Arabidopsis thaliana: one gene and its partner. The protein of the gene in region 1 interacts with the protein of each later gene in a pairwise test. Each region holds a gene or a part of one and is shown on either strand. Other genes may lie near its edges.

The links.
Region 2: the proteins of UMAMIT11 (region 1) and GLR2.2 interact in a protein complementation assay, tested with the Arabidopsis thaliana proteins (one large-scale study listed by BioGRID).

The regions. Positions count from the first base shown.
Region 1 is NC_003071.7:17,061,781-17,078,373, forward strand, and holds UMAMIT11 (nodulin MtN21 /EamA-like transporter family protein), read right to left. Parts: upstream 4,034-16,593; 5' UTR 3,735-4,033; coding exon 3,547-3,734; intron 3,453-3,546; coding exon 3,390-3,452; intron 3,304-3,389; coding exon 3,187-3,303; intron 2,988-3,186; coding exon 2,762-2,987; intron 2,401-2,761; coding exon 2,242-2,400; intron 2,146-2,241; coding exon 1,994-2,145; intron 1,896-1,993; coding exon 1,616-1,895; 3' UTR 1,318-1,615; downstream 1-1,317. Other genes in the region: AT2G40910 (F-box and associated interaction domains-containing protein), read right to left, coding at 8,158-9,326, 9,424-9,499, 9,670-9,774; AT2G40920 (F-box and associated interaction domains-containing protein), read right to left, coding at 10,806-12,011, 12,128-12,232; AT2G40925 (F-box and associated interaction domains-containing protein), read right to left, coding at 13,125-14,336; UBP5 (ubiquitin-specific protease 5), read right to left, coding at 14,934-15,068, 15,161-15,434, 15,659-16,219, 16,471-16,593.
Region 2 is NC_003071.7:10,511,991-10,529,423, reverse strand, and holds GLR2.2 (glutamate receptor 2.2), read left to right. Parts: upstream 1-3,364; 5' UTR 3,365-3,583; coding exon 3,584-3,845; intron 3,846-3,964; coding exon 3,965-5,286; intron 5,287-5,375; coding exon 5,376-5,688; intron 5,689-5,775; coding exon 5,776-6,641; 3' UTR 6,642-6,876; downstream 6,877-17,433. Other genes in the region: GLR2.3 (glutamate receptor 2.3), read left to right, coding at 8,803-9,133, 9,866-11,190, 11,275-11,587, 11,683-12,089, 12,161-12,544; AT2G24700 (Transcriptional factor B3 family protein), read left to right, coding at 14,136-14,213, 14,289-14,568, 14,644-14,780, 14,875-15,142, 15,210-15,319, 15,408-15,672, 15,757-16,043, 16,133-16,375. UniProt on the Arabidopsis thaliana protein: Glutamate-gated receptor that probably acts as a non-selective cation channel. May be involved in light-signal transduction and calcium homeostasis via the regulation of calcium influx into cells.

The DNA of each region.
Region 1 (16,593 bases):
TGCCCAGTAAAATTTCCAAAAAGAAACTAGTGACTTTTTCTTCTTTTTTTGGGTCACCTAAGGAAACCAGTGATATTATTGATGTTCTTTTAACCCTTTTTTTAAGTGACTAGTGAAATGATATTATCTTTTAGACTCATCTGAAAACTTGGTGAATGAATAGTATATCTTTTAACCAAAATTAATCGAATGGCAAAAATCGGAATCATCCCAAATTTTGTAAATTTTGATTTCCCCACGCACTAATCATCCGTCACAAAAAAAAGAAGAAGATAATAGATTATTCACGAATTAATCAGTTGGTAAGAAAAAAAAATAGATAGTTTATTTGTTTTAAAACGCCAAAAAAAAAAATTGGTGTGGGAGAGAGTCGGTGTTGTATGTTGGGGTCAGTGGGACCAGACGGGTAGGTGAGTGTGTTTGGTGAGAGGTAAATTTTTATTTGTTTTTGTGAACTTTTTCTTTTAGGTGTCTTGTGAATTCGTGTTATTATAATTATTATAGGTGAGTTCAATGATTCAATGTTTGGTTCAATTATAAGACGTAGGTGTTATTTCCTTTGAACAAAGAGAGGTTATATTTTGTGTTAGGCCCTACTTTTTTTGGGTTAAATTTAAAATGTCTGGCCAAACTTCTCTCAATTCACTTTATTTCAACAATCATGTTACATGCAACGGCAAGTCGGCAACTAGACCTTGCGTGCAAAGAAGTCCACTTTCACCTTGAGAAATCCAATAATTGATTCCTTAAATTCTATAAGAAAATAAACAACTCTGACGTGCATTGTTCCACACAAAGGAATACACCATATAGACATAGTAATACACACGCATATGTAAGTTCCGTTACTGATACATACCCACCACCATCTTTTATGAATTACGGTACCAGTTTATAAAATCTACATATACATCATTTTCTTGTAAGTTGTAACATTATAACATCTTTTGCAGGAAATAATATCGAACTTTTATAATCTACATATAGCTATGTTTTTGAGAATGAACTAAGAATTCTATACTATTTAAGGTTAGCACTTAGCAGTACCGAAAGAGATTCCATATTTTTCTGACTAAAGTTTTTGTCAAGTAATATAGTCATTTTCTTCAATATGAATTGAGATAGGTGTTAATGGGCTCTGGGCCGAGAATATTTTTAAGCAGAAGGCCTGACACTAATAAAAAGCAATTACATTTTGGTTTAATTCCCGGTTATGTTATTGTTTTTGACTTTTGTTATGTTTGCATTTGTTGGCAGAATGTTTTCGATATACGTACATCAAAAATATGGAACAGTGAGTAGTGAGTACATTGTTAACACACACACAAAAAAACTTACGATTTTTTTTTATAATATAGTTCACTAAAACCGCCGTAAAAATGGTATGTAACAGATGCGTACCAATACCAAATGTAGTGATTACACGGGATTGTATAGCTAGTCAACGATCAAAATCGAATCCCTTAGTTACAATAAGAAATCAAAACTATAAATAAAATATAAAACTTTTGAAGCACGGGAAAAGGAATTCAAACTTACAAGTATCAAAAAAAGAAGTTACTCTTCTCCCCAATTTTGCTTCTAACAAAAAGTAAAAAAAAAATTGAAAACCCATCTAGTTAGGTCGTGAAACGCTATGCACATTTTCACTACAAAAAACTACCACCACCACTTCCGGAACTGACGACTCCTTCTCCGACGTAGCCTTTCCGGTTTCAACATCCTCCTCATCAGCTTCGTCGATTTTCGGCATTATCGTTAGACCATTATTGCCACTACAACACTTAACGGCTACAACGTTATCTTCATGGCGTGTTTCTTCGCCGTCATCATCTACATGTTTGCCCCATAACACGGCGTAGACTCCCACCATCAAAACAACCACTCCAATAACCCTGAAAAAAGAAAACAAATTTCGGTTTGATTAATTAACAAGACAGAGCCAAGACTAAACCGGGAATATATCATAATTAACCGGTTGTTGTTAACGTACCCTCCAAGGTAGATTCCTTGACCGAGAACGAAGAAGCTCATGATGGAGACAATGACAACGATAAGAGGGTTAAAAGCAGTGACAAAGACCGGTCCTTTTCGCTGCATCATAAGTCCTTGAACGTAGTAAGCTATGCTCGACGACATTATTCCCTGTAACCGTTACCAATCACAATGTTAGTATCAATATTTTTGTAAACTGATCTTTTTGTTATTTGTGAAAGTGGCATGATGAAATAAAGGACGAACCGCGTAGGCAGAAGCGAGAAGGTTCATGTCAAAACCGATGTTCAAAGCAGAAGGATTGTGTTCCATTACGAAGGCTAGGGCTAAAGACTGTAACGTTCCCATGAAACACACCATTGTTGACATTGAGAGATGGGCTGAGTATTTCTTCAAAGTCGCAGCCTATTTAACAAAATATAAAAGCCTAATTCGTTAAATCTATATTTTTATATATTACGAAAACAGTGAAAAAAAATTCCAATCATATTATTATTTTAGATATAGTTAACCCAATTATTTTTTTAAAAATTATATAACATGAAAAATTAGAAACAACATCCCAGTAACATTATTAATACTATATCTAAAATTTCAAATTTTTTATATTACTTTTACGTATCCCCTACATGGTTTGGTGCATAAACTATATTTTCCTATGTTGATGGAAATTTAAAACTAATCCTAAAAACTATATTATACGTTTTTTAGTGATGTAAGAAGTGAGTTATATTATACACAGGATCAATATATAATTGATACATACCTGAAGAACAAAGAACGACGCCCATGAGAGGGAAGCGAGGAGTAGGAAGACGGCAGCCTTAAGATAGTCAGCCGTCGGCGGCGAAGAGGCGGCCGTGAGGTGAGACCGGAAGAAATTAATGAAAGGACCTTTGTAGAATATCATCAATATGGATCCAACCACTGTCACTAACGTCCCCATCACTTTTACCAGGCATCTTACTTTTCTCATCTCCACTTTCTCCATCCTTTAAAACAAATATTTACATAAAACACACACATCAATATTCATAATTTATGACATCGATCGTCATACACTAATTGTACTACTATACATCTACTTTTGAATTGGTGCATATCCACGTACCAAAATATAATAAAACGTATCTTTTTCTTTGGTTAAATGAATAAATGTAAATAATAAAAAAGTTGCTTTTTGTATGTTACCTGAAAAGTGTGGCAAGGATAATGGTAATTGCAGGCACGATGTTGCTAACGGCGGAGGAAAACGTTGGTGATGTGAGTTTTAGACCGATATAGTATAAGTTCTGATCAATCACCGGCCTGTTCAAATTAAACCTTCCATGTTAGCCTTAATCGTAATTATTACAAAATCTTCTTGATATCAACGGTTCTGTTAGAAGACTAACCCGAGAAGAGCAAGAAGAAATATTCGCATGAATATTGGAAACGTCATCTTTGATCTCACTTTCCTACAAAAAAATCCCCAATACATAATTATTACTACCAAAAAAAAAAAAAAATCTAAGTCTTGCGAGAATCGATTTCTTTAGAAGAAATATGTACCTTTCGGAGAGAAGAGCGAAGGGTGCGATAGCGGCTGTGGCAAAAGCGTTGCGGTATGCAACAAGAACGTAATGGCTCATACCGCGGTCTAGGACGGTTTTAGTTACTAAGTTCATACCTGCGTATCCGAACTGAAGACAGACCATTGCAAAATAAGGTTTAGCTGATTCTGACATCCTTAATCCCATCTTAATATTTTGTTTTTGTTTTTGTTTTAGAGCAAGAAAAACCAATCAAAGTTTTGGAGTTATTTTAGGATCCTCGAGGACAAAAAAATTGTCAAATTAGTGTTATGTATATAAGAAAACTGAGTTAGGAAAAGAGAGGAGAGAAACACTTGGAGAATGTGCTTTTTCCTGAGAACCAAGTGGTGAGAGGTTCTTTGTATATATAGCATATTATTCGGATATGTTCAGTGTTCTCTGATTTCTTCCTTTGTATTTTTGTTATTTTTATTTTATTTTTTTTCGGTGACGTTAGCGTTAATTATTCCGGTTTGATTCGGCATAAGAATTGGGTGTCATGAATTCATTATCTCTAAAGTAAGTGGATAAAACATTCTACATATATATATTCTGTTTATATGACTTCGTGAAACCAATCATATTAGGATTTTAAATAAAACTTGTGGCTACTAAAAGTCGAGGTTAAAAGTGTGATCAGTGTGGAACAAGTGATTAATTAACATCACCTCATTTCTTAACAATCAAAATTTACATGTTTATAGTAGTATATGTTTTAGTTGCACAAAAAACAACAACATTAGTATATGTTGTAGTTGCAAAAAAAACAAAAAAACTAATAAGTACATATGGACACTAAAACGTAATTCTAACATGCATGTAAATTATTTTATTCATGCAATTGGCTTTAAACATGGTTTTTTTTTTTTTTAAACTGTGGACTTGTCTATAAAATCACAAAATCCAAACTGAACTAAAATTAGCCGGATCGGATTAGCGTATTGTTAAAAGATTAAAAGAAACTTGAAAGCCACAGAAAAATTGTTGCGATTGTTAGTCTACCGTGGTTTTCGATATATGTGGTCTCATGACTCATCACCATCATAAGCTAATTGCTTTATTTAATATATAGTAGAATATCTTTTGGTTAATGTATAGTAGAAATTTGACAAATCGACCGACCTCTGCAAAAAGATTAACTCATTGTAATGCTAATATGGGGTTATATACGTGTGGAATCTGACGTATGTCCACCTCTATCCTAATTACTACATTCATGGTCATAAATCATCGATCTTTAATAAGAGGTTAAATCAATGAAGAAGCATAAGTGGACAGATTGAGTTCCACGTGGCAGCAATAATCAATTGGGTTCAATCCTACGTACATTGGGACCGGCCAATATCTCAAAACTACATTTCATGTTTAGAAATTTAAGGTGGACAAAATATGTGTTACATGTCTTGTCTGTTATCGATCTCTTCACAAAGAAATAAAACCCCAGATATTTTTAGAGTTACGTAACAAAATAATTATGAGTTATATATGGTTAAAAGTTAATCTAATCAGAATATTATTAGAACACCTTACCAAAAAAAAGAATATTATTAGTACAAGAAAATCTTGAATATATGTTCTGTTTTGGGCACTTAATTATATATGTTCATACCTGTTGTTTACATTTCGGATAAGCAATTATATACTCAATTCTTGAATACATCTATACATGTTTGCGTACATATCATCGATCTGCCTAGAATTGCTTATCCGAAATGTAAACCTCATATATTATACAATATATAAATTCGTGAACAAAAGCTAACCACATAGCATAACTCATTGGATTCTTTTGTTTTATTATATATCCCAAATACTTCACTTATGTTTAGTTGGGCATCCATTATCTTTTATAGAATATGCATTAATGTCACTTTAAGTGACAATAGTGGCTACTTTACTTAGTTGGAGAAGGTTTGTGTGGAATTCGTATCTTAATTTTTTTTAAAAAAATTAGATAGATTCAACTGTATTATATTAGGTCGCATGACTTTGTTGATATGTATATGCACGGTGAGAATGAGAACAAAGACGAATTATTTTATTATGCAATCCGAAAAAGTTTGATGGTTCGATCGGTTCAACATCTTGATTTGCATTGTTTTAATTGGAGGTTCTAGTCTATCCATCATTATTTTTTTTGTTATTTTTTTGAAATTTAAACTATCCATTATGTTAATAATTAATAATTCAATATACTTATCCAAATAGAGGAAATGTCTCACGCTCACTCGTCTGCATGTATAAAAACATAAGTACTTTAGAAGTATTATGATTGAACCAACTGACTAGTGTTGTACAAATGATATGATGTTGATTATTTAACAATAGTAACAATATTGGAATGTCTTCATATATATATATATATATATATATATATATGATCATTCTATGTTATATTCGAGTTCAAGATCATATAAATTTATAGTGAAGTATACCAACCACTGTATCATGCATGAACTCATCATAATAGGATTTCTATTCGTGTATTAGTGTAAACCATATGTTTCATGATCAAAATTTCGTTCCAATTATGTAATGATCTCTTGCACATTTTAATATTATAGTTATGTATGTGGCTACTAAAATTAGCACCATTGGGTGTAAAACTTTCAAATTAAAAAAAAAAAAAAACAGATGAAAAGGTGCAGTTTGTGTCATGCAAGTGCGGATGTGTGGATTCCACGTAAATCGACTCTGGCCGCTGTCGGAGACAAGTGTCAACTCCTTACGATTTAGTTAACGAATCGAATATTTTACGTCTCTGCGATTGGGAATTATATGCTTACACAAAATCCTTCTGACAAAATCTGGCATATGTATCTGACTTTTGATTTGTCACGTAAAAATCATTCGTAACTCTAATTAAATAACTTTGAGTTTTCAATATGATTCATATATTTTTACCAAACTATAGAATCAATGTGACGAGCTGAACCATGCACGGTGTCGGACGTCTGTCTCCACATTTTTTTTTTTTTTTTTTTTTTTATAACTAAATATCCAGACCACACAGTAATCTTATTATCTTACTGGGCCTAAACCCGCGATTAGGGATTTTTAAACCTCCACATAAAAATCCGCTGGAACTAATGGTCTGAGACACTAGAGCAAGTACGCATGTTAATTTCTTAATGGCCAGGAATCAAACCCGGATGATGGGCGCCTCAGTCGAGTTTCCTTTACCAATAAACCACGATGCCTGATTATCTCCACATATTTTTCTATCCACTTTTTTTAGATGATCAAATCTATTATTTCCTATCTTAACTTTTATATGATCATCGCAGGAAACAAAACTATATGATCATTAATAAAACAATTACGTATAACCAATTTATAATAGTATTTTTTTTCTCTGTAGGTGCACATTTAAACATTTAAGTTGCTACATTATACTCTTATAGATTGTATTTTGGTACAAACTATGAAATTTAACCAAACAATACATGTTTGGCTATAAATTTTTAGATAAATTTATAGTGTAATAATTGGTTGTCATACATATAGATATTTAGCTAGATCTCCTAATACATATTAACCTGAATTTGAGTATTTTAATTTTTAAGAGATCTAGCTTAATATTTTTACTTTAAAATGTTCGGACTATAAAATATGATATAAACTTGTGTGTCTATATGTGTATAGACATAAATAGCCGACATAAATTATACTCAAGATTCTAAATGTTTAAGGGGTGGGTTTTTTTATGAAAAAATATTCAAAAAAAAAGAAAAACGCATGATTTGATAAGAAATTTGAGAAAGAAAAATAGAGAAAGTGGGTGTGGGTCAAAAGTGTGGGTGCGTATTTGGGTAGTAAAGAGAAATGGGAAAAAAAGAGGGCAACAAATCAAAATGGTCATCTAATCACCCTCCCGCAACTTCATTTCCACACTCAAACTTTTGGGCCTACCCAAAGTTCATGTCTTTTTTTCTTTTGTTTCATCTTTTTCCTTTTTTTCTTATTATTTCTTTGATGAAAATGGTATTTTGAGCAATTTGGTAATCTTATTGGACTCCAGTCTCTTATAACTGTGGTGACGTGTCTATAATATATCAGAGATATTGATCAGATCATGAGTTGTTTTTGAGTCTCTGTCTCTGTTTAAACTAATTAGTTTAAGCCTCACACCAACAACAGACAATTATGACAGACCTAACAAATTAATTGTGCTAACCGAGAGACATGCTTGTAGCTAGAAAAGATCATATATATTAGTGAACATAAGATGTTAACATTGTTTGATTTTGGATGTATTAAAAGGTCTTGCATGTGCATCTGTCCAAAAATATACTCCTTCTCTTTTGTGTTCATGATTGATAAAATAAACGATCACGAGTTCAAGGGACTAATCTCTCTTCACAACACCAAACAACCTATTTTGATCACAAGCTTTCACAGAAAGATTCTATTGTTCTTGAGATGTTATGTGACTGCTTGTAGCAAAACATTTAAGTAAAGAGACTAATTTAAGCTCGTTCTGAGAAACATTCCTTTGCAAATTTTAAAAATTAAATTAACTCTCTGACAAAGTTCAAATTTATTTTTAACTCAGTTGTTTAAACAGCTAGAAAAACAAAGTCAATGGTCAAGTTTCCAAGTAGATGACGTCCTCACTCTCATCCAGAGAGTACTTCAAGTCGAAATAGCACTCCTTATCAAACCAAATGTCTGGTACTCCTTTGATTTCAACCTTTCTTAGGTCATTGCTTCCCATATCGTAACACAAAATATATAATTGAGAACACATGTTTACCGGTGCCAAGATAACCTTGCCATCTTGAGTTGTACCTTTTACGACCAGTTCAATGTCATCATGGACTAAATGCTTTTGACAAGGCTGTAAAACCAGCCTCTTCTTCGACCACTTCTTCATCCCAGCGTCTTTCAATACCCATAAATCCACCAGAAACTTTTCTTTGAGATGGGTGTGATCGAAAACAGCTATTTCCCCATGATACTGTATAAGACCCGCCTTCATCCTACCTGCAGGCAGAGCCACATCCCCGGCCTCTAGAGTTACTATGATGGTAGTCAACTCTTCAGACGTAATGTCGAAACTCACAACAGCACAAGTGTCCATATCAAGCCAAGCCATATAATATACTACCGATCCATTGATAAACTGTCCTACTGTGGAAGGAGCATGAGGATGGTAACTCTCCAGCGTACGAACCTTTCTCCACGAACCTCCAGCTTCTAGAACAAAGACCCAATGCTCTGACTTTAGATTTGTGAAAAATGCAGAGGATATCCCAATCGTGCAGACTAGTTTGTACTGATCATTAACAGGATCGTGCCCGATATAATACCGGATATCCTTCCTTTCATCTTTTAGAGCTATGATGTCGGATTTTATTGCGGGTAAGGTCAAGCGCTGTCTAGTGGTGGGGTTATAGATACATGCCTTTTCTCTAACTGAGAAACACAACAAGCCACGGACAAGATTCAAGAAGAAGCCTCCCATTCCTGTGAGGCTCAAATCTTGGTCGACCACATAACAAGTGTTGTCTGGAGACGTTGATGATAATGATAGCAGCACACGTTGCCCGCCGTGATCCACTAAACACATGTGTATATGTGGTTGTTTTTTTCGTGTGACAGAAGTAAATAAACTGTTGCAAAAATATCGACAAGAGATGAGAGATGACCACTGCTTGGAGATGCATTTGAACCTCACCATGGACTTTGCTGGCAATCTCATAACAATTTCCATCAAGAGATCCGGAGGAATCTCGCACGTGTATTTTCTTCTCTCTTTTACACCAAAAAAAAAAAAAAAAAACAGCAAATAAGAGAGATTTGTACAAGTTTGAGAGAAGAATCAAGCAACCTTGTTAAGCAAGAAAAGTACCTCGTGTGCTACACATGCGCATAGGAAGTTTGGCGGGAAGCAATGCTAATGAGTTGTCTCCTTTTTCATCCATTATCTTCAAAGAGACAACAAAACAGCAATTGGAAACTCAAAACAATAACATGAAAAGGGAAGTAAAAATTCAAACTTTCATGCAGTACATAAATACAACAAACTAAGCCAAGCCATTGATCCCAAGGAAAAACTACGAATTAGGGAGATTGCATAAAGGAAGCGTATTTATACCTGAAGTTGATCGGAATCTCTGAGAGAGACGACCTGGGGAACGCTCTGACATTCCTCCTGCTCTGACTCCGCCGCTTGTTTCAGATCCCTCCTCCTTCTCTTCATCTTTTTAACTCTTCAGCTCAAATTTAATTCAAAAAAATCCAAACTTTAATACTAAAGTTACGACCAAACAAAAGAAATCGATATTAGGGCTTTGAAGTTGCGCAGTCGGAAGAGAGACCTACTTTGTGTAGTCTTTATCTTTATGACCAAAGACAAAGGTAACATAATAAATGGTAGAAAAGGAAAAGGAAAATAAAAAGGAAAATTAAGGAAGTAATAAATTAATATTTACATAATCACAATTCACAAGCTAACCGCTTGGTTCACGTGCTAATTTACCACTATCCTTAATTGGTTTGGTTCATTCTATGCTCGGATTTGCAGATAATAATGACACATCGATTTATGCTATGAGCCTTGATGAGTTTTACAACATTAGTGTGTATAAGTGATTAATTGTTGGCACATGCTTGTTTGTTAGAACTGACATCATCTTGTTGTCTCTCGTCTCAACAAAAGATGGTGAAAAATGAAAGCAGTCCCTTTTACAACAGCCATTCATGAAACCAAGATAAGCATTAACTATCAAGGCTAAATTCGAATCAGCAGACGTGATGTACCCATTTCAAATACAAGCTGAGAAGACAGAAGAAACTATAGCAACTACAGGGAGAGATTGGGTTAAGAAAATGGATGAAGTCCAAAAACAACGTCTGCTTCTCTTTTGTGTTTTGCTTGATGGAAAAAAGTTTCTTCATTCATTATTTTAACAAAATGAGTTTTGAAGTATGGAGATCATTATCAATACCAAACAACTGACTGAACACATCGTGCTGATAATGAAAGAGAATGGAGATAACGTTAAAAATAATCTGCTAATTCCAAAATCCAAACTTCTACAAAAAAGATTCTATCCTCAATATGCTACTGCTTGAAAAAAGCATTTAAGCAGGAGACCAATAAAATCAAGAGCATGAAGATAAAATTTATTCAAGTAACTAGAAATATCATTTAACTCGGTTGTATTCTTAAACAACAAACAGAAAAAAAAAAAAAAAAAAAAAAGGAAATCAAACGTCTTGCCGTCTTGGTCAAGTTTCCAAGTAGATGAAGCTCTCACTCTTATCCATAGAATTCAAGTCGAAATAGCATTCTTTATCAAACCAAGAGTCTGGTACTCCTTTGATTTCAACCTTTCTCAAGTCATTGCTTTGCAAGTTGTAATACAGAATGTAGAATCGAGAATGCATCTCCACCGGTGCCAAGATCACCTTGCCGTCTTGAGTTGTACCTTTTACGATCAATTCAATGTCTTCGACTAAATGCCTTTGACAAGGCTGCAGAACCAGAGTCTTTTTCGACCATTCACTCTTCCCAGTGTCTTCCAAAACCCATAAATCCGCGGAACCCTCGTCTTTAAGGTTTGTATGATAGAAAATTGCTATCTTCCCACCATACTCTATAAGATCCGCCATCATCGTAACTGCAGGCACAACCTCGTCAAGGTGGATCTCCCTAGGTACTGGGATGATAGTCAACTGTTCAGACCTAATGTCGAAACTCACAACCACACAATTATAATTATCAGGCCAGGCCATATAACGCACTACTGATCCACTGGTAGACCGTCCTTCCGTGGAAGGGGCATGATGACGATAATTTTCCAGTGGAACAACCTTTTTCCACGAACCTCCAGCTTCTAGTGCGAAGACCCAGTGCTCTGACTTCAGATTACCCAAACGTGGCAATAGCGAGGATATCGCAACCGTGCAGACTAGTTTGTATTGATCACTAACAGGGTCGTGTCCGATGTAATACCGGGGATGATGCTTCGTTTGACCTTGTTGAGCTACAATGTCGGACTTTATGGCGGGTAAGGTCAAGAGTTGTTTGGTGCTGGGGTTATAGATACGCGCCTTTTTTCTGCGAGAGAAACACATCAAGCCACGAACAACGTTCAAGAAGAAGCCTCCCATCCCTGGGATGCTCAAATCTTGCTCGACCACCACGAAAGAAGTGTTGCCTCGAGACGGTGATGATATAGATAGCAGTACACGGTGCCCGCCGTCATCCTTTAAACACATGTATAGGCGTGGTTGTTGTCGTGTGACCGTAGTATATAAAAGGTTGCAAAAATATCGACTAGAAATGAGGGATGACCACTGCTTAGAGACGCACTTGAACCTCGTCAGGGAGGTTAAAGGAAATCTCATAAGAATTTCCATCACATGATCAAGATCAAAATTCTGCAGTAAGTATTCACATATATCTTCTTCTTCTTTCTTGTTGGGTGGCGGCTAGACCAAAAATAGTAGCAAATAAGAACGGTTTAAACTTATAACATGAAAACCACAAGTCAAAATTCAAACTTTAAGCCAAAGAAAATAATCGCTACGAATTGGCGTATTTATACCTGAATTTGATCGGAATCTCCGAGAGAGACGACCTGGGCAATGCTCTGACATTCCTCCTGCTCTGACTCCGCCGCTTGTTTCAGATCCTTCCTTCTTCTCTTCATCTCTTTTAACTCTTCAGCTCAATTCTATTCAAAACCAAAATTACAACCAAAAGAGCAAAGGGGTCTCTTATTCTTGTGTGCTTTTGGATTTTGAATACGGAAATCGACGATATTAGGGGTTTCGAATTTGTGCAGTTGGAAGAGCAACGCATTACAGTTTGTTGATAAGAATATATATATATATATATATATATATATTACGGTTGGGCCACGATGGGCCTTCTTATCTCTTTTACGTGGGCTGTTATTTATTTTGTTAGCATGTTATATAATATTGTTGGGCCAATATAGGCCTCGTTATTTATGAAGTTTTTCTCGACGAAAAAATAGGAAAAACAAAATAAAATTCGTTTTTTTATTTTTAAATAGATTTTATGAGAATAGTTACATTTTTATATAGAAAAGATTTTTCATATTTCTATTTACATAATCACATGCTAAACCACAATTTATAATTGGTTTGGTTCATTCTGTTATAAGCAGTTGGCCAAAGCTCGGATTTGCAGATAATAATGACACATCGATTTATGCTTTGAGCCTTGATGAGTTTTACAAGATTAGTGTGTATAGAAGAGCACAGATGATTATTTTTTGGCACATGCTTGTTTGTTAGAGCAGGCATCATCTTGTTGTCTCTACAAAAGATGGTGAAGAATGAAGCAGACCCTTTTAACTTTGACCATATAAACAACAACTGTCATTCATGAAACCGAGATAAGCATAAAGCGCTTTCTCAAATTAGTAGAGTGCTTCTCTTTTGTGTTCTTGATTGATAATAAATGTTAACGAGGGTTCGGTGGATTTATGGGTAGGAGACTAATCTTGACAGAAGAAAAAAAAAAAACTTAACTGTATTCTTATCTGGTACACAAACAAAAGTCAAAAGTATTGGTCAAATTTCCAAGTAGATGAAGCTCTCACTCTCATCCATAAACTTCAAGTCAAAATTGCATTCTTTATGCAACCAAAGGCGTGGTACTCCTGTGATTTCAACCTTTCTCAAATCATTGTTTTGCACATCATAACACAGAATGTAGAACTGAGAACGCATCTCCAAGGGTGACAGTATAACCTTGCCGTCTTGAGTTGTACCTTTTACGATCAAATCAATGCCATGGACTAAATGCCTTTGGCAAGGCTGCAAAACCAGGATCATATTGGACCATTTCTTCTTCCCAGCAGCGTCTTTCAATACCCATAATTCTACCAAACCCTCGTCTTTAAGGTAGCTATGACTGAAAATTGCTAATTTTCCATCATACTCTATAAGATCCGCCTTCATCATCAGTGCAGGCACAGGCACATCCCAGATTTTCCGAGGTAATAGGAAGGTAGTAACCTCTTCAGACCTAATGTTGAAACTCACAACCGCACACTTGTACAAATCAACCCAGGCTAGATAATGTACTACTCCATCGATAGACCGTCCTGCTGTGGCAGGAGCATGGGGATGATAATTTCCCAGTGGAACAACTTTTTTCCAGGAACCTCCAAGTTCTAGTGTGAAGACCCAATGCTCTGAGCTCATGTTTGCAAACAATTTCGAGTATATCAGAATAGTGCAGACTAGTTTGTATTGATCATTAACAGGATCGCGTCCAATATAGTATTGGGTAGTCTTCAGTTGACCTTGTTGAGCTGTGATGTCGGATTTTACGGAGGGTAAGGTCAAGAGTTGTTTGGTGCTAGGGTTATAGATACACGCCTTTGTTCCGAACTGGAAACACAGCAAGCCAGGAACAGAGGCGAAGAAGTAGCCTGGGATGCTCAAATCTTGGTCGACGAGTACAAAACAAGTGTTGTCCGGTGACGTTGATGATAGTAGAACACATTGCTTGTCTTTGGCCACTAAACACATGTATAGACGTGGTTGTTGTTGTTGTTGTCGTGTTACACAAGTAAATAAACGGTTGCAAAAATATCGACCAGAGATAAGGGGTGACCACTGCTTTGAGACGCACTTGAACCTCATAAAGGACTTTGTTGGCAATCTTATAAGAATTTCTATCATGAGATCAGGAGGGATCTCGCAGTCGTGCCTATTGCACATATCTTTGATTCCTCTTCTTCTTCTCTTCCTCTTCATACTCCTCTCTCGTTGCATGACTGCTGGACGAAAAACCAAACCCAATAGATTTTGACAAAGCGCTACCCACAAACTTATATCAAAACCCTAAGTACTCTTGTTCTTACTAATTAGGAAGAGGAAGTTCTTTCATGTTTCCCGGTCACGGTTGGTGGAGATATCAAGGAGGCTAGCGTTGATTTTTTAAGCCCATTCGTTCAACAAAGCCCATTAAGAAACTTGTCTTTTTGTTTTTGGGCAAACTAGATAAAAAACCTTGTCTACTACATATTTAGACTGAGTCTTGTGATTATGTGTCAGTGACAATAACAGTACTGCTATTATGCCAAACACAATCTATACAGAAACTGACAGAGAAGGAGAGACAATATTCATCTCTGTTAATTAAACTACTCAGAACCCAACTCCACTAATTTACAATAGATCTAAACCTAATTGTCACTCTTATGGGTTCCAAGTTGCAGACAGCTGTGTAGAGATTACTACTGGAACCTGCAAGACGCGTAAACACAAGTCCACAACTACGTTTCAGTGATCTAACTAAACTTCTTTTAAGAATCTTTTTAGAATTAAATTTGGTATTTGTTACCTCGGAGATTGTCGTTTTGAGCAGACTTATGTCATTTTTCCGCCTGCATCAGACTTCCTCCTGTAGAAGAGCACATATGCAGCACCTGACTTCACATCATCTTCGTTTATGTGTGATATATGGCTATCATCGAAGTTATACCACCTACTGTCGTCCAAAAGCTGCAGACCATATTCGATAATAAACATAAGAAAAACAAGCAAGAAACTCAGAAATGGAAACAGAATGAAAAAGTTTAGTTGTTCGAACTGACCTTGATATGTGCAGTGTAGTGTCCGCTGCCCATACCACCATAATGGTTGGTCAAGGCATAGAGCTCATATAGTTGAGGTTGAGATAGGTTTTTGTTGGCTACATACTTTGTTAGATCTAAGTCATGAATGGGAAAGTTAACAAATGTTTCCAACTTATGCTTCATGGACCTGCTGTATGAGAATCTCTTTAGATGTATGACTAAGACCTCAGGAAGCCTCCACAGATCAAGCTTTTTGCTTGCCTGCCTTCTTTCATTGCATTGTGGACAGAACCTTCAAAAAAAGAGAAATGATACCATTGATTGATTTAGTCAGCTAAGTAGAAGATACTGGCTAAAATCTACTGCAAAAATACAGTGTGTTCAACTTCCATCCGTAGTAGACACTAGCAATTTCTGAACATCATTCATCATCTTGTAGTAATGCGTAGTTCAACTTTTACCACAAACCATAAAAAATGAGTCTCACAGGAAGGATAAGGAGAAAAGACTGCTTACCACATTTCGTCAGGTACCAAAGGCTCTTCGCGTAGAAACGCTTCCAAACATGCATATAAAGAAAGAGGTTCTGAACGAGCCTTCTTGGTAGTAGGTCCGTATTTGAGTACTTCAGGCAAACTCTCCAGGCAAGTTATATCATACATACCAGAGAGTTCTGGTGTCCAATCCAAATATATAGTTACAGTAGCTGATGACGGTAATTTCATAGCTTCTGCTTCATTGTCTGGCAGATTAATCGTTTTGTTGTCTTCATCAATGAGTTGCAGGGATAATTTAGAAGCACCCAAGTCGGAGGAGTTGCTTTTCTTGGCTTTTTTCAGTCCACCAACTTTATCTTCTTCCTCAGTATTATTAAATCGAGCTGACCTTCTCTCGGGGATGCTAGAATCAGAATTTCCTTTTTTGCCCACAGATTCTTCCCTCCGAAAAGGTGAAAGCATATTCTGGACGAGGCAATGGATTTTTCCTTTGGTGAGTGCATCTCCGCATGAAGCTGATGAGAGAAGAGGTGTTCCACAGGGTTTCAATTGTACTGTACTTTCACGTTCCCCAGCTTTCCTAAAACATGGTACAAGAAAAGATAAAGAAGAGAGCAAACAGAATATAAGATACCTTTCTCAGATCAGCATTAATCAAGGATTCAAAAATTATTCAGAAATCAAAGACTGAAGAAGTGAGGCCTTAAAGAAAAGAAAGTCTTGAAGTTTTAAGAAAGGAAATCCAAAGATGTTGAGTACAGAAGAGGACTTTGTTGTTTCAAACTAATCCCCAGAATTAGTTCATACAAATTAGACTGATATTTAACTTACTGATCTCTGCGGCGGAGTACTAGTCTAAGCAAAGTCGTATTCTCCGAAGACTTTGAAAGTTTGTATGCAGCAAGGTGGTCATCATCTTTGATACTTGACAACGGAATTAAAGGGTCTTCAAAT
Region 2 (17,433 bases), 6.5 Mb from region 1:
TAAATCATAGCTAAATTAAACCGATAGATTCGGTAGAGAGGAACAATTCACTCTATCTACCAAATAACAACACTACATAGATCAAAGTTCCAGAAGCTTTAAGTGATACTCATCTATTATGTAATTGAGTAAATTAAACAATCACCTTCAATGAAGCAAATGAGAATACAGTAAATAGTATAAAAAAAAGAGAGAAATATTTAAGCTTTAGTAAACAGTAAACAAACATGAACAGAGAAAATTAACTATTAAGAACAAGATTTGCCAACAGATATTTGATTGAAAGAACTGAAATCAATTCCAAAATTCGAAAAGCAAATATATTATTTCAATTTCGTACCAAAAAGGGAAAGAAGATTACAAGTTTAGAACCCTAAAAGTGACAGAGACACAAAAGGTTTTCTAGCTCGAAGTGAGGGAGAGCTTCTGGCTTGAAATGGAGGGTTTCATGTGCTTAAGGTTTTAAAATCAACGGTATCGTTGTAGTTAACCAAGTTGGATAGAAATTGTCAAAGAAGAAAGAATTTGTGTCTTCTTTCATTTAACAATATGTGCCAATAAAGTATTGATAATGAAGCACAATCCCCAACAAAAAGGTTACAGTAGACTTGCACTACACTAGCCATATCAAAAATGGTTCTACTTGTATTATGCTGAAAAATAATACCTGAAGCTGACTTCATCTCGTGTGTGGCTCAACTTTGGCTCCAAGGCATTAATAAGAGATAAACATGACTTACTATCTTGCAATGTACAGTCTAGCCATCGAGGTGGCTTGGAACACCACCAATGAGAGGCCATTGCGCATCTGCTGCAGATTGAATATCGGAAAACACATGACCTTGTACTATCAAGAACACAGCCCGATAAGGTTTGGAGAGTTCATGAGAACAACCATTTCCATACACACGAGTAAGTCATTTTTGTACCAAAAGGAGAGAAAGAGTATATACCCAAATCATAGATGATGTCTTCTTTCTCGGTGCCATGTTTTGCTGATTGCTGCAATTTCCTAAAATCTGTAAGAAAAATTTAAGCTTTTTAGGGTTTAGTAAAATGTAAACAAACACGAACAAAGAAAAAAAGTAAAAGCATAACAACACCGATGAACAATTTACTAATCTAAAACTGGTTTTCTTTTCCAGAATTCATAAACAAAGACCGACTACAAGAACAAGATTTGCTAACAGATATAGGAAACAGAGAATCGAATCACAAAGAATATCTAATTTGGTACCAAAAGGGGGAAGAAGATTATGTACCTAAACTTTGAATTACAAGTTTAGAACCCTAATAGCTGCAGAGAACAGAAGTGTCGAAATCGTCGTCCTCTCCGTCACTTCTTTGTCAAAACGGAAATGATAGAAGAGAACAAAATATTTTTCTTGCCTCAAGCATGGAATCTGGTCGAGATGGAGATCTATTGGGCTTCATTTTGTATTGGGCTTTTAATAAAGTATGGAGGGTAACTCTCATGTCATTTTCTATTGGGCTTTTAATAAATTATCCAATTGTGTAATACTGAAGTATTAAAATAAAAAAATGGGAAAAATGTAGAAACAATTGCAAAATATCAAATTTGGGACGGAATTAACATAAACTTTCGAAATATCATTTAAATTCCAAAGTTTGGTTTGACTTAATAATAAAATGGTTAAGTTTTGTTGACTAAATCATTTTAGACAATGCTGAAACATTTTTGCTAACTAAAAGATGAGAGAGATAACTTTCCGAAAAATGTTCTGGTCAACGACACTTAACTATTTTAGTAGAAAATCAAACCAAATTTTGGGTTTTTGATGACAGATCGAAAGTTCATGCTTTTTCCGTCCCGAATTTGAAAATTCGCGATTTTTAAAACATTTTTCCCAACCAAAAATGTATTCACTCTTTCAAAATATAAGATTTTTAATTTTATTCCATAAAATAACATTAATATTTTATTTTTGTTGTATGTATATTTTGACTATTTTTAAAATTTAGATTGTGATTTCAATCTTATTGTCCTAAAACTATTCCCCAATTAATCCATGTACAATCTCTTATTTTTTTGCTATGCGCTATTCATCATGTTTTATGTTTTGAGAACCTTTGAATTTTCTTTTGCTTTGATTCTCTCGGGGTGAAAAGGATCCAACTCTAAAATTACTAACTTAGATGTTTTTCTTGACCTCGACTCGGCTCTCTTTTGTTTTCTTTATATAAGCTAATTTTTGTATATTTTCGGAAAATAACTCATAATACAACAGTGTGAATGATAATTCCTTTTAAGACCCTACAACATGAAAACACACAATTCTTACCATATTTTCTTATTATCTTGATTTCCACCCACATCTAGAAATATTATTAATGAGCTAATTACAATTTTTTTGGGATTAGATCTGGTCTAGGTAAAATGAATGCTGATTTGGCTAGGATTATTAATTCTGATGAGGTTCAGAGTGTGGTTAGACCGATTGAGAAAGATGTGAAGAGTGCTGTGTTGAAGAAGAATCCTCTTAAGAATTTGAATGTGATGTTGAAGCTTAACCCTTATGCTAAGACTGTGAGGAGGATGTCTTTGTTGGCTGAAGCTCAGAGAGTTAAGTCGAAAAAGGAGAAGCTCGAGAGGAAGAGGAAACCCATTTCAAAGATATTTGAATTCTTTCTATGATTGAATCATCTTTAGTGGAACTATCTGATCAACAATTATTTGCCTTCTTTTGTTGATAATGGGTTTCGTAGGGATTGTTTAGACTTGATGAGTTTAGAAATTAGAATCTTTGATCTGGCTTGCGTGAGTGATATTATTCTTCTTAATCTCATTGTTTATTGTAGGAGAAGGCAATGAAGATCAAAGCAGCAGGAAAAGCATGGTACCAGACTATGATATCAGATAGTGAGACTACACTGACTTTGATAACTTCACAAAGTGGCTCGGTGTCGAACAGTAAAATCTGCAACCCTTAGACGATGTTTTATTTTTTTTATTTATTTTGTTTCTTGAGATCAAAGTCACAAGATTTGCTGCTTCATCAGTCGACGTTTTACCAAGATTATTTTCATTTTAAATTCAATTAATTGCCCAGTCTTAGATTACTTCCAACATAACTCTACCACTGAAATTTAATTGCTGACTTTCATAGATATGAAAGGTCATTCTTTTAGTTGCTCAACACAAGTTAACTATTCTTGCAATAAGAAAATAAAAAGTAAACTGTATAAACACAATAAAGTATGTTTTTAGTTTACTTTCAATCAACTTGAATTCTATATATTGTTTTAACTTTTCGTCATATGTCCTACGTCATACGTATAACATTATTTTCTTACAATATATCTAAGTCATCTCCTACAAATATCACGAAACCCCTTGATACAGAAAAATATTTGTTTTAGAAATTGCTGCGAACTTTGAAATGTATTGGCTTCTATCTTTATATGTTGTTTCACTGCTTACTAGGATGAGATATTAAAAGATTCAACAACTATCCAAAACTTTGGTATATATATATATATGTGTGTGTGAAGACTGCAAACACAAACCAATAAGCAAGCTTCTATCAATTATCACCTAAAATAAAAAGAGAAAAATCCCCAAATGAAAAATTCAAAGCTTTTCTTCCGCTTCTTGTTCTTGTTCTTCTTCTTCTGTTTGGAAAGCAGCAGAGGACAGGACAACGGCAAAACCCAAGTCAACATCGGTGTTGTATCAGATGTCGGTACTTCATACCCGGATGTTGCCATGCTCTGCATCAATATGTCTCTTGCCGATTTCTACTCTTCTCGTCCCCAGTTTCAGACAAGGCTTGTCGTCAACGTTGGTGACTCCAAAAATGACGTTGTAGGTGCCGCAACTGCAGGTACCTTCTTTTCTCGTTTCGCTTTCTCTCTATACATGTATGTTAATGTTACTATATGTAAACTATGTTCACGTTTGACATACTCAACCCGAATTTTCTTGGTTTTGACATTGTCATAGCTATTGATCTGATAAAGAACAAGCAAGTGAAAGCTATTTTGGGGCCATGGACATCTATGCAAGCTCATTTCTTGATCGAGATTGGCCAAAAATCTCGGGTTCCTGTTGTTTCCTATTCTGCAACAAGCCCATCTCTTACTTCTCTCCGCAGTCCATACTTCTTCCGAGCTACATATGAGGACTCCTCTCAAGTGCATGCTATAAAAGCTATTATCAAGTTGTTTGGGTGGAGAGAAGTTGTGCCAGTTTACATCGACAACACTTTTGGAGAAGGTATAATGCCTCGTCTCACTGATTCATTACAAGATATTAATGTTCGGATACCTTATAGATCCGTTATCCCTCTCAATGCCACGGATCAAGATATCTCTGTGGAGCTTCTTAAGATGATGAACATGCCCACAAGAGTGTTCATTGTCCACATGTCCTCTTCTCTAGCCTCAACAGTCTTCATTAAAGCAAAGGAGCTTGGTTTGATGAAACCAGGATATGTCTGGATCCTTACAAATGGAGTTATGGATGGCTTACGGTCGATAAATGAGACGGGTATTGAGGCTATGGAGGGGGTATTGGGTATTAAAACTTATATTCCAAAATCCAAAGATCTAGAAACGTTTAGATCACGTTGGAAGAGGAGATTCCCACAGATGGAGCTGAATGTCTATGGATTGTGGGCTTATGATGCGACCACTGCACTGGCCATGGCCATTGAAGATGCGGGAATAAATAACATGACTTTCAGTAATGTGGATACGGGGAAGAATGTTTCTGAACTTGATGGTCTTGGTTTATCACAATTTGGTCCAAAGCTTCTCCAGACGGTCTCAACAGTTCAGTTCAAAGGTCTTGCAGGAGACTTCCATTTTGTCAGCGGGCAACTGCAACCATCGGTGTTTGAGATTGTCAATATGATTGGAACCGGAGAAAGGTCAATAGGATTTTGGACGGAAGGAAATGGTCTTGTGAAGAAACTTGACCAAGAACCTCGAAGCATAGGTACTTTATCCACTTGGCCAGATCATCTTAAACATATAATATGGCCTGGAGAGGCCGTTTCTGTTCCGAAAGGATGGGAGATCCCGACTAATGGGAAGAAGTTGCGCATTGGAGTTCCCAAGAGAATCGGTTTCACTGATCTCGTGAAGGTCACAAGGGATCCTATCACCAATTCAACGGTAGTCAAAGGTTTTTGCATAGATTTTTTTGAGGCTGTGATTCAAGCAATGCCTTATGACGTCTCTTATGAGTTCTTTCCTTTTGAAAAACCCAACGGTGAACCAGCCGGTAATCACAACGACTTGGTCCACCAAGTGTACCTCGGGGTGAGTACGATCACACAGTAATCATCCCTCAAAAATAGCATTAGCAAAACCATTTTAGTGAATTACTTTTGTTTTCTTTTCCATCTAAGCAATTTGATGCCGTGGTCGGAGATACAACCATACTGGCGAACAGGTCCTCTTTTGTTGACTTTACACTCCCATTCATGAAATCAGGTGTGGGATTGATCGTCCCATTGAAAGATGAAGTGAAAAGAGACAAATTCAGCTTCTTGAAACCTTTGTCAATCGAACTATGGTTGACAACCTTAGTCTTTTTCTTCCTAGTTGGAATTAGTGTATGGACTCTTGAACATAGGGTCAATTCGGACTTCCGTGGACCAGCTAATTACCAAGCTAGTACCATCTTCTGGTTTGCCTTCTCTACCATGGTTTTTGCTCCAAGTACATTCAATCTCCACCTTTTACATGTCATCTTATATATGTTTATATTACTTTGTTTGATTCTTACTCTTGAGTTGCTGTCAGCAGGAGAAAGAGTGCTTAGCTTCGGGGCAAGGTCCCTTGTTGTCACATGGTACTTCGTCCTTCTCGTGTTAACTCAGAGTTACACAGCCAGTTTGGCGTCGCTTTTGACATCACAACAACTAAATCCAACCATAACCAGCATGAGTAGCTTGCTTCATAGAGGAGAAACAGTGGGTTATCAGAGAACATCCTTCATCCTTGGAAAGCTTAACGAAACAGGTTTCCCACAATCTAGCCTTGTGCCCTTTGATACCGCAGAAGAATGCGATGAGCTTCTGAAAAAAGGACCAAAAAATGGTGGTGTGGCTGCAGCTTTCTTGGGAACACCTTACGTGAGACTCTTTCTTGGACAATATTGCAACACTTATAAAATGGTTGAAGAACCCTTCAATGTTGATGGATTCGGCTTTGTGTTTCCAATCGGATCACCTCTGGTGGCCGATGTTTCAAGGGCCATCTTAAAAGTAGCAGAGTCTCCAAAGGCAGTGGAGCTCGAGCACGCTTGGTTCAAGAAGAAAGAACAAAGTTGTCCTGATCCAGTTACCAATCCAGATTCAAATCCAACTGTTACCGCTATACAGCTCGGCGTAGGCAGTTTCTGGTTTTTGTTTCTTGTTGTGTTTGTTGTCTGCGTTCTAGCACTCGGAAAATTCACATTCTGTTTCCTATGGAAGACAAAAGGGAAAGATTTGTGGAAAGAGTTTCTAAAACGAGACACCGACTCGTACATCAACGACATAGAGAAATGCTTGTGTTCTCAAGAGATGCCTGAAAACAGCAATAAAGCAACAAACCAGACAAACTACGGTATGGAGTTAAGAGTTAGGAATATCGTGCAAGTAAACCAAACAGACCCAGACTGTCTTTAATTTAAAAAAACATAGAAGGGCGTCTGTTTTTATTAAACCAAACTATTGTACTTTATTGTGTAAATAACGATTTTCAGAAATAGGTGATCCATATAATGTATAAGAGACTATCAAGTTACTATAGTGGTTGATTTTCGTTACGTGTTATGCAAGACAGTAAACCTAAGGCTATGGGTTCTTACATGTGGGGAAAATGGTATTTTCATACTTGTACTATATGCTGAGTATATTTTTCAACCTGAACTATAAAAAAATTTGAATTACATATCCAAACTTAGTATTTGGTGTTAATTTCAGAATCATAATTAATGGGTTGTATTTGGTGTTTGTTGAACGAAGAAGCGCCTGTTGAAGATGTTGTAAACCCACCCGCTGATGATATTCATCAAGACCCAAGGGAACAACTATAATGTTTGAATGTCTCAAGACTCTTTAATTTAACTAACAAAGAGGCGTGTGTTTTTATCAAACAAAACTACTGTAGTGTTTTCTTTTTCATTTGTTCGAAAACTAATGTTGTTTATTTAGTTATTTTTAAAATCAATTTTTCGTAAACGATGAAAGCAACAATTTTCATGTAAGGACTATCCACATTCTTATATATCAGGAGGTTGATTATGTTACTTGTTCCCCCAAGACAGTAAACCTAGGGCTAGGATTTCTCGCATTTTCTAAAGATTTATAGTAAGCATATTGACTTATCTTCGATATAGAGTACAAAAAATATTAACCTAAACAAAAAATGTGGTGCGTTTTTATACACCAACAAAAGTTTTAAATAATTTCCATAAATTTCCAGGCTTTAGCCGGAATCAACATTGATCACAATAATGTTACTCAACAACTGTTAGTTTATGTTGAGTAAGATGACATGTGTGGAATTTCAATTGAGTCGGATGCCATATGTCTCGTTTGTGCTGAGTTGGATGTCACCTATCACAATAAAAAGAATTGAGAGAAAATTATTTGTCTTAGTTCAAATGCTTTTCTGCAAAAACGAATTGTTATCTTTTACAACTTTAACCTCAAGTTTCAGAAAATACATACAATTAATTTTGCAAAAGTCGAAACTAAGACACAATATAACTATTATCTTCGAACTGTTTTTTCAATCACATATAAATATACAATAGATTAATAACATTCTTTTTTCTTTCAACAAACACTATTTATATTAACTTATCGGGAAGAAATTCTCCGCTAGAAAGAGTCATTCAGGAACTGATGTGCATACATGGGAGAAAATATTATTTCGAGCCCGAGTTTTTTTAGCTAAACAATCTGCTCGAGTATTAAAAGTACGAGGAAGATATCTATAATTAATAACATTCTAAGAGTTGATTTGAACTCTGAGGGCGAGGGTTTTGAAATGGTCATTGATATTCTCCTTAGTCCTTGCGTATTGAGGAAGAGGCATTGAAAATCAAATCAGCACGAAAAGCGTGGTCCAGACTATGATATCAGATAGTGACTACATTGAGTTTGATAACTGCACAAAGTGGCTCGGTGTCGAACTGTAAAAGCTGTTGACATGTTCTTTGTTTTACTTTTCTTTTCCTCTGTTTCTGAGATCAATCAAAGTCACAAGATTTTTTACTTCGTTTTTGTTACTTAATCAGTCAACGTTTTATTACACTCCTGATTGTGTTTTACCATGATTATTTTCATGTTAAATTTATTAATTGCCCAGTCTTTGGATTACTTCTAAGTCCTAACATAACTCTCCGACTGAATAATAATTTATTGCTCGACTTTCATAGAAATGAAAATGTCATAACTTTAGATACACAATACAAGTAAACTATAGTTGCAATAAGAAAATTACAAGTAAATTGTAGAAAGATAATAAAGTTTATTTTTCTGTTACTTTCAATCAAGCTGTACTGTATTTTATGTTTATTTTTTTGTGTCAAGTGTATACAAAACATTATTTTCTTGCAATATATAATGCTAAGTCCTTTCCTACAAAACACGAAACCTTCTTTATTTTTGATTAAACTACATGCACACGATGGCACAAAACCATCTAAATACAGAAATATCTGTATTAAACATTGCCGCGAACTTTGAAATCGTATTTGCTTCTTATCTTCACAATGTTTCATTGCTTATTAGGATGAGATATTAAAAAATTCAGCAACTATCTAAAATTTTGCTATATATGTGTGCATTATTTAAACCAATAAGCATCATCTATCACTTATCACCTAAAAGAAGAAAGAAAAATCTCCAAATGAGGACCGAAAAGCTTTTCTTCTGCATCTTGCTCGTCTTCTTCTTCTGTTTGGAATTCAACAGAGGACAGAACAACGGCAAAACCCTAGTCGATGTCGGTGTTGTAACAGATGTCGATACTTCACACTCGAAGGTTGTCATGCTCTGCATCAACATGTCTATTAGTGATTTCTACTCTTCCAATCCCCAGTTTGAGACAAGGCTTGTTGTCAACGTAGGTGACTCCAAAAGTGACGTTGTAGGTGCCGCGATTGCAGGTTTTTTAACTTCTCCTCTCCAGCCTCTTGCTTTCTCATATATATATATATAATATAATATATATTTTATTTGGATCAGGACTGGTTCGGATCCTGTACAAATTTAAAAATTGGCCTTTGTCAATACTATTTTTTTGTTTTAAATAACCATATATCTATATATATGTTAAAAAGAAATTGATATATAAAAATTTGGGCCCTTTTAACAACATAATTACAAAAACAAAAACATAATTATATATAAGAAAAGCATTTGGACCCTTAAATTTGCCCAAATAAAGTTTTGGACATAAGAACATTTGTTTCATAATGTAATACACCGACCCTGGTTAGGATACATAATGTAATATATCTTATGAACTCTCATGATTATTTTACTATACATATAATTAATGGTAAAATATATAGTATATTTGTAAATAGATGTAAATAAAATGACAGTTATTTTCAGAAGACAAGAATTGTGAAACTTTTTTTTATTGGATTTGACAAGAATTATAGTGATGATTATTTTGCAAATGTGTAAAAAATGATTACTTTGCAAAACTTTTGGTGATTGGCAATCCCATTGAACATTCCTAGTATAATAAATACTACAATATAATTAGAGTTAATTAGAATATATAAATAATTATTTTCTCCAACTAAAAATGTTTCTACTTACTTCCAAAGATAGTTTTACTTCAAACAAAATAAATATGATTTTTTTTAATGTTTTTGGCATTGTCACAGCTCTTGACCTGATAAAGAACAAACAAGTGAAGGCTATTTTGGGGCCATGGACATCTATGCAAGCTCACTTCCTGATCGAGATTGGCCAAAAGTCCCGGGTTCCTATTGTTTCCTATTCTGCAACAAGCCCAATTCTTACTTCCCTTCGTAGTCCATACTTCTTACGTGCTACGTACGAAGACTCCTTTCAAGTTCAACCAATAAAAGCCATCATCAAATTGTTCGGATGGAGAGAAGTTGTGCCAGTTTACATTGACAACACCTTTGGTGAAGGTATAATGCCTCGTCTTACCGATGCTTTACAAGATATTAATGTCCGGATACCTTATAGATCCGTTATCGCTATCAATGCCACTGATCATGAAATCTCCGTGGAGCTTCTTAAGATGATGAACATGCCCACAAGAGTGTTCCTTGTCCACATGTACTATGATCTTGCCTCAAGATTCTTCATTAAAGCAAAAGAGCTTGGTTTGATGGAACCAGGATATGTCTGGATCCTTACCAATGGAGTTATCGATGACTTAAGTTTGATAAATGAGACGGCTGTTGAGGCTATGGAGGGGGTATTGGGTATTAAAACTTATATTCCAAAATCCCCAGATCTTGAGAAGTTTAGATCTCGATGGAGAAGTTTATTCCCACGGGTGGAGCTGAGTGTCTATGGTCTGTGGGCTTATGATGCTACCACCGCACTAGCGGTAGCCATTGAAGAAGCTGGAACAAATAACATGACTTTCAGTAAAGTGGTGGATACAGGGAGGAATGTTTCTGAACTTGAAGCTCTTGGTTTATCTCAGTTCGGTCCAAAGCTTCTCCAAACACTCTTAACAGTTCAGTTCAGAGGACTTGCAGGAGAGTTTCGTTTTTTCCGCGGGCAACTGCAACCATCGGTGTTTGAGATTGTCAATATAATCAATACCGGAGAAAAATCAATAGGATTTTGGAAGGAGGGAAATGGTCTTGTGAAGAAACTTGATCAGCAAGCAAGTAGCATAAGCGCTTTATCTACTTGGAAAGATCATCTTAAACACATTGTATGGCCTGGAGAGGCGGATTCTGTTCCGAAAGGATGGCAGATCCCGACTAAGGGGAAGAAGTTGCGTATTGGAGTTCCCAAAAGAACCGGCTACACTGATCTTGTGAAAGTCACAAGGGATCCTATTACCAATTCAACTGTAGTCACAGGTTTTTGCATAGATTTCTTTGAGGCTGTGATTCGAGAACTGCCTTATGACGTCTCATATGAGTTCATACCTTTCGAAAAACCCGACGGAAAAACAGCCGGTAATTACAACGACTTGGTCTACCAAGTGTACCTCGGGGTGAGTATGAGCACATACTAATCATTCATCAATATAGCATTTATAACTATACTAAGTGAACTCTTATTTGCTTCTCTGTCACAGAGATATGATGCGGTTGTGGGAGATACAACCATATTGGTGAACAGGTCTTCTTACGTCGACTTCACATTCCCATTTATTAAATCAGGTGTCGGATTGATCGTTGAAATGACAGACCCAGTAAAGAGAGACTATATACTTTTCATGAAACCTTTGTCATGGAAACTATGGTTGACTTCCTTTATCTCTTTCTTCCTTGTCGGTTGTACTGTATGGGTTCTCGAATATAAGCGTAATCCGGACTTTAGTGGACCGCCTAGATTCCAAGCTAGTACCATCTGTTGGTTTGCCTTCTCTACCATGGTTTTTGCTCCAAGTACATTTAATCTCCCCTCTCTACATGTCAGCATATATATGTTCCTATATATCATGCACCTTGCTTGATTCTTATTCTCGATTCCCTGTCTGCAGGAGAAAGAGTATTTAGCTTTTGGGCGAGGGCCCTGGTTATCGCATGGTACTTTCTCGTTCTCGTGTTAACCCAGAGTTACACAGCGAGTTTGGCATCGCTTTTGACATCACAGAAATTAAATCCAACAATAACCAGCATGAGTAGTTTGCTTGAAAAAGGAGAAACAGTGGGTTATCAGCGAACATCCTTCATCCTTGGAAAGCTTAAAGAAAGAGGTTTCCCGCAATCTAGCCTTGTGCCCTTTGATACTGCAGAAGAATGTGATGAGCTTCTAAGTAAAGGACCAAAAAAAGGTGGTGTCTCTGGAGCTTTCTTGGAAATACCTTACTTGAGACTCTTTCTTGGACAGTTTTGCAACACATACAAAATGGTTGAAGAACCCTTCAATGTTGATGGATTCGGCTTTGTAAGTTCCTATATCAAAACTTATGTGAAAATTGCATTAAATGGTGAGAGATCATAAGTCCTTTTTCGCAGGTTTTTCCAATCGGATCACCTCTAGTGGCCGATGTTTCAAGGGCCATCTTAAAAGTAGCAGAGTCTCCAAAGGCAATGGAGCTCGAGCGTGCATGGTTCAAGAAGAAAGAACAAAGCTGTCCTGATCCAATTACTAATCCAGATCCAAATCCCTCTTTCACCTCTAGGCAGCTTGACATAGACAGTTTCTTGTTTCTGTTTGTTGGCGTGTTACTTGTGTGTGTTATGGCACTCGGAAATTTCACATATTGTTTCCTAGCGAAAGACCAGGTTTCGTACCTCGATAAGGTAGAGATGAGTCCGTGTTCATCAAGTCAACAAATGCCTGTCAAGAGGAAGACACAATTAAATATGTCTCAAGTTCATGACCAAGACAGTCTTTAATTTAACAAAAAAACATATGCTATTATTATACCAAACTATTGTACTTTTTTTTTCTTTTGAATGAAGAATTGTACTTTATTTTGTAAATAAGGATTTTCAGAAACAAATGACCCATTTAAGAGAGACTATCAAAGTTACAATAGAGGTAGATTTTATTACGTGTTATGCAAGACATTAAACCTAATGCTATAAATTCTTATGTGCTAACGACTAGTAGCATATTAACTTATCTGGAATTAGGGTTATACTTTTTCTTTTTTGGGTTATACTTATATGCAGTTAATATAATCTAAAGAAATTTTCACGTTTATGCTGAAAAAAAGATGTGGTCTCAGCGCAAAGTGAGATGTGGATTTCATAGTTTGACAATTAAGACATTTTAACATAGAAGTAGAAAATAGAAAGAATAAATATTAGAAACGAAAATAATTTGGATAATTGTAGTAATAGTGTTAGTTTAACCACTTTTTAATATACTTAAATGCATTCAAATGCAAATCTATTATTGTAGTAGGACAAAACCAAGTACAGGTGAATAACTGGATATATTGGTTTATTAAGATACAATTGTGTTTGTCCTGCTCTGCTTTATATCCGTAACTCCTCTGTTCTTCCATTCAGACCCAATACATATTGGTTTTCACTGGAAAAGGAGACAATAGATGGAACTGTTCACAAACAAAAGAAAAGATGGATATTTTGGTGCGTTGCGCTTTGTACTTTGTAGTGATTAGTTTGGATTTTTTCTTTTTTTGCTTTGTGGGGAATAAAGAGATAGCCTAGATGCACGTGATACGTATTCCTACAGTGCTACTGAATACTGATGTACAAATAGTTCCCTCTCGTGATTTTTGTTTGTGGTTTCAAGAGAAATGTTGCTTACATTGAAGATTGAACACACTATTATTTTAAGCCTTTTTTGCGTGTACTTAAAATATTCTTTTACATTGTTAAAAATACAAAACGTTTTTCAGTTTTACAATAAACTCACTTTTTGAAAAATATAAACGTAAATGCAAACAAAGAATCGAATTCTTATTCTTTTTGACAAAAACGAATCCACAACGTAACTAACTAATTTACTGTCAAAACCATATGATATTTTGATAGCAAACATGAATGTTTTCACTTCCTAAGATTTAATTTCTTGTAAACTATTTTTACATTATTATGGTACCTACGTGTTGAATTAAGCATATTTAGTTTCAGATCTTTTTCTTCTTCTTTTTTTCTTTCTTTTGGTTAAAGACCAATGTCTTCTCAAGATTTATTTTTCTCGTTCATTGATATTTGCTAAGTTTATTTGATGAATATTTTCCATAACCAATCAGAGTCTTTATGTTCAATCCCAACACTATTCTCAGTCAAAACTTGTTTTTTTCGAAAACAATATATAGTCTTTGGAAAAAGCTGATAAAGGTCTTTTTTAACATTGCTTTATAGAAAAAGCTGAGAAAGTTTCTTTGACGTTTTGTATAGAAAGCTGAGAAAGGTTATTTTTTTACATTACAGAAGTAAGGGATACAAAGTTGTTAGTTCATCTTCTCTCCGCTCAGAAGAAGAAAAACTTAAAAAAATTCAACGTCTGAATATGGCTAATCCACTTCTCTATTCTCCGATCAACCCACAATTCTTCCAACCACTTCTTCCCGGTTTCACCAACCACCTGGTACTCTGTTTCTCTATACTCTCTCCGACCAGTTAAGTTACTTCTGTTTGTAACTCATCTAGCATGCTGTTTCAGGACATTCCTGTGGCGTTCTTCTTGAAGTACTTAGTGGGAACTAACGTAGGAAAAACGGCTGAGCTCAGATCAGATGCATCGGAGATGACATGGAAAGTGAAGATAGACGGCCGGAGACTCTCTAATGGTTGGGAAGATTTCACAATCGCACATGATCTCCGAGTTGGTGACATTGTTGTTTTCAGACAAGAAGGAGAGTTAGTGTTCCATGTCACAGCTTTAGGACCAAGTTGCTGTGAGATTCAATACGGAGAAGATACCCTTGAAGAGGATAAAATTGGTAACCTTAGTTTCATATTAAATATCATTAGCACATTTAGAATGAGTCTAAGAATATTACTTAATCTATCAACAGAGAAACTTTGTGGTACGGAGAATGTTTCAAGTAAGAAAAAGAGTCTAAAGAGAGAAGCTGAGTCTGCACCAGACAATTCACTAGATTCTTGTTTTGTGGCCACTGTCACGGGTTCGAATCTAAAGCGCGATACATTGGTATGTTACTTCCATATTACTCATTACAGTAATTTTTATGTTATTGTATATTCTTGATAACTCTATCTAACTTGGCTTGTGGCGGCATTTGCAGTATATTCCGAAAGAGTTTGCATTGTCAAATGGTCTGATGAACAAATATCAGATTGTGTTAATGAATGAAGAAGGAGAATCATGGAAGATAGACTTGAGACGCGAGGCATATAATTACGGCCGGTTTTACATGAGAAGAGGCTGGAGAAGTTTCTGTATTGCTAATGGGAAGAAACCTGGAGACGTTTTTGCATTCAAATTGGTCAAAAATGAAGAAACACCTATGATACAGTTGTTCCCTATGACCATTGAAGATTTAGACAAACTTCGTAAGTTAATTTTCATAATCCGTTGGTTATTGAGAAAAATCTCAATCAGATTCTATAATTGATACAGAGAGTCTTCCAAGACACAAGATTCGAAAAACAGAAGCAGCTCCTTCTTCACCGGACCTTTCTTCTTTTGTAGCCACTGTCACGGCTTCAAATCTAAGCCGAGATAGACTGGTTATGATACTCCTGACTTACATATATTGATTTTGATTTGACTGAGAGGTGTTTTAATGATATTCATGGTGACTGTACTTGACTGCAGTATCTTCCGAAGACGTTCATTATGTCAAATGGTTTGTTGAAGAAATTTCAGATGTGTCTAATGAATGAAGAGGGAGAATCATGGACGATAGATGTGAAACATGAGGCACATACAGGCCGGTTTTTAACGATAAGAGGTTGGAGAAGATTCTGTGTGGCTAATGGGAAGAAACCAGGAGACTTGCTCAAATTCAAATTAGTCCATAACGAAGAAACACCTGTGCTCCAGTTGTTACCCTTGAACAGTGAAGATCTACACAAACTTAGTAAGTTGTTTATGCTTTATTCTTTCAAGAAACAAAAATATTGAAATAAAATTGAATAACAAGAAGCACTTTCTTCCTCTGCAGATCCTAGCAATGACACAAGGCATGGACAGAGTTTAAAAGTTACCAAAAAAGAGTTTCTTGGCATGGAAGCCACAGAAAATGAGTTTCTTGGGGAAGAAGTTTACTGTAATGACTCCTTTAAAGCTAGCGAGAAAGATACTCTTCCTTTTGCTGAACCTATCAATGAAGATATAAGGCAAGGACAATGTTCACAAACTATTAAACAAGAATATGTTTCCACAGAAGAGAAAAACTCAACAAGCCAAAACCGATTTGTGACCTTAACACTTACACATTCAAGTAAACTTGTAAGTTTCACAAGAAAACTCTGTTTTTTTCTTGTTTTTTTTTTTCCACTTAATACTCTCGATATATAATCTGATGATGGTATCTACAGAATCTTCCGTTTGAATTCATGAAGCGGAATGGAATCAAAAAGGCGGGGAAGATAACGATGGTTGATAGATACGATGCAAAATGGCGTACTTCACTACTGATGGACAAGATCGGAACAATGAGTTTAGGAAGAGGTTCAAAAGGTTTCTGCGAGGTTAATGGTGTTGAGATGAATGAGTCGTTTATCTTGGAGTTGATTTGGGAAGACACAGTTCCTCTTCTTAAGTTTTGTTCCAAAGTTTGAGAACAATATTAAGAATGTCTAGGATCATCGCTCAAATAAACTTCTTTCCTTCTATGGTTTAATTTTCATGTTAAAAAATGCCGTTTAAATCATCATTAATTCAGATAATATTGGTTTACTAAACAAGAATCGTTAAAGATTTTATATAATTATTTTTGGGGGTCACTAAACATCTTGATTGTCGACACCAATCATAAACTTCATACTTCAGTATGTAGTAGAGATAGACTTCTAATTAAAGGGCTATCTGCTATACATGTAGCAAAAAATCAAAATTAACATCTTATACTGTATATCTTTTTTTATCATCATATATTTTTATCTTTATATTTTACTTTAAATGATGTGAAAATCATAGATAAAATATAGGAAAATGTAACTTATATTAAAGTGAAGAGTCATTTATATTAAAGTGAAGAGGAAGAAAACAGAAACAAGTTGTAAGATATTAAGCCATATATTGCAGAAACAAAAAATGGACAAAAATCCTTACTTATTTTACTATCAAATGATTTGATATTTCTTTGTATTTTGTTTAATGTGAAGAAAATCAAGGGAAAATCTCTCTCATTTATAGTAAAGTGAAGAGGAAAAAAACAGAAACAAATTGTAAGATATTATATCATAAATTGCAGACACAAAAATCCTTAATTATATTATTATCAAATGATTTGATCTTTCTTTGTATTTTATTTAATGTGAAGAAAATAAAGGGAAAATATAGGGAAAATCTCTCACATTTATAGTAAAGTGAAGAGGAAAAAAACAGAAACAAATTATAAGATATTATACCATAAACTGCCGACACAAAAACCGACAAAAATCCTTAATTATTTTATTATCAAATGATTTTATTTTATTTTAATGTGAAGAAAATAAAGATAAAATATAGGGAAAATATCTCTTGTTTTTCATATTAGAAAAATATATTTTAGAAATATGATGTAATGATATAAAAGAAAATCTAACAATAATGTATCATATATATATGGTATATTTCGGTTTGAAAAAATAACACATGTATAAAGAAAATTTTAATTTTCCGGGAAAATAGAGAA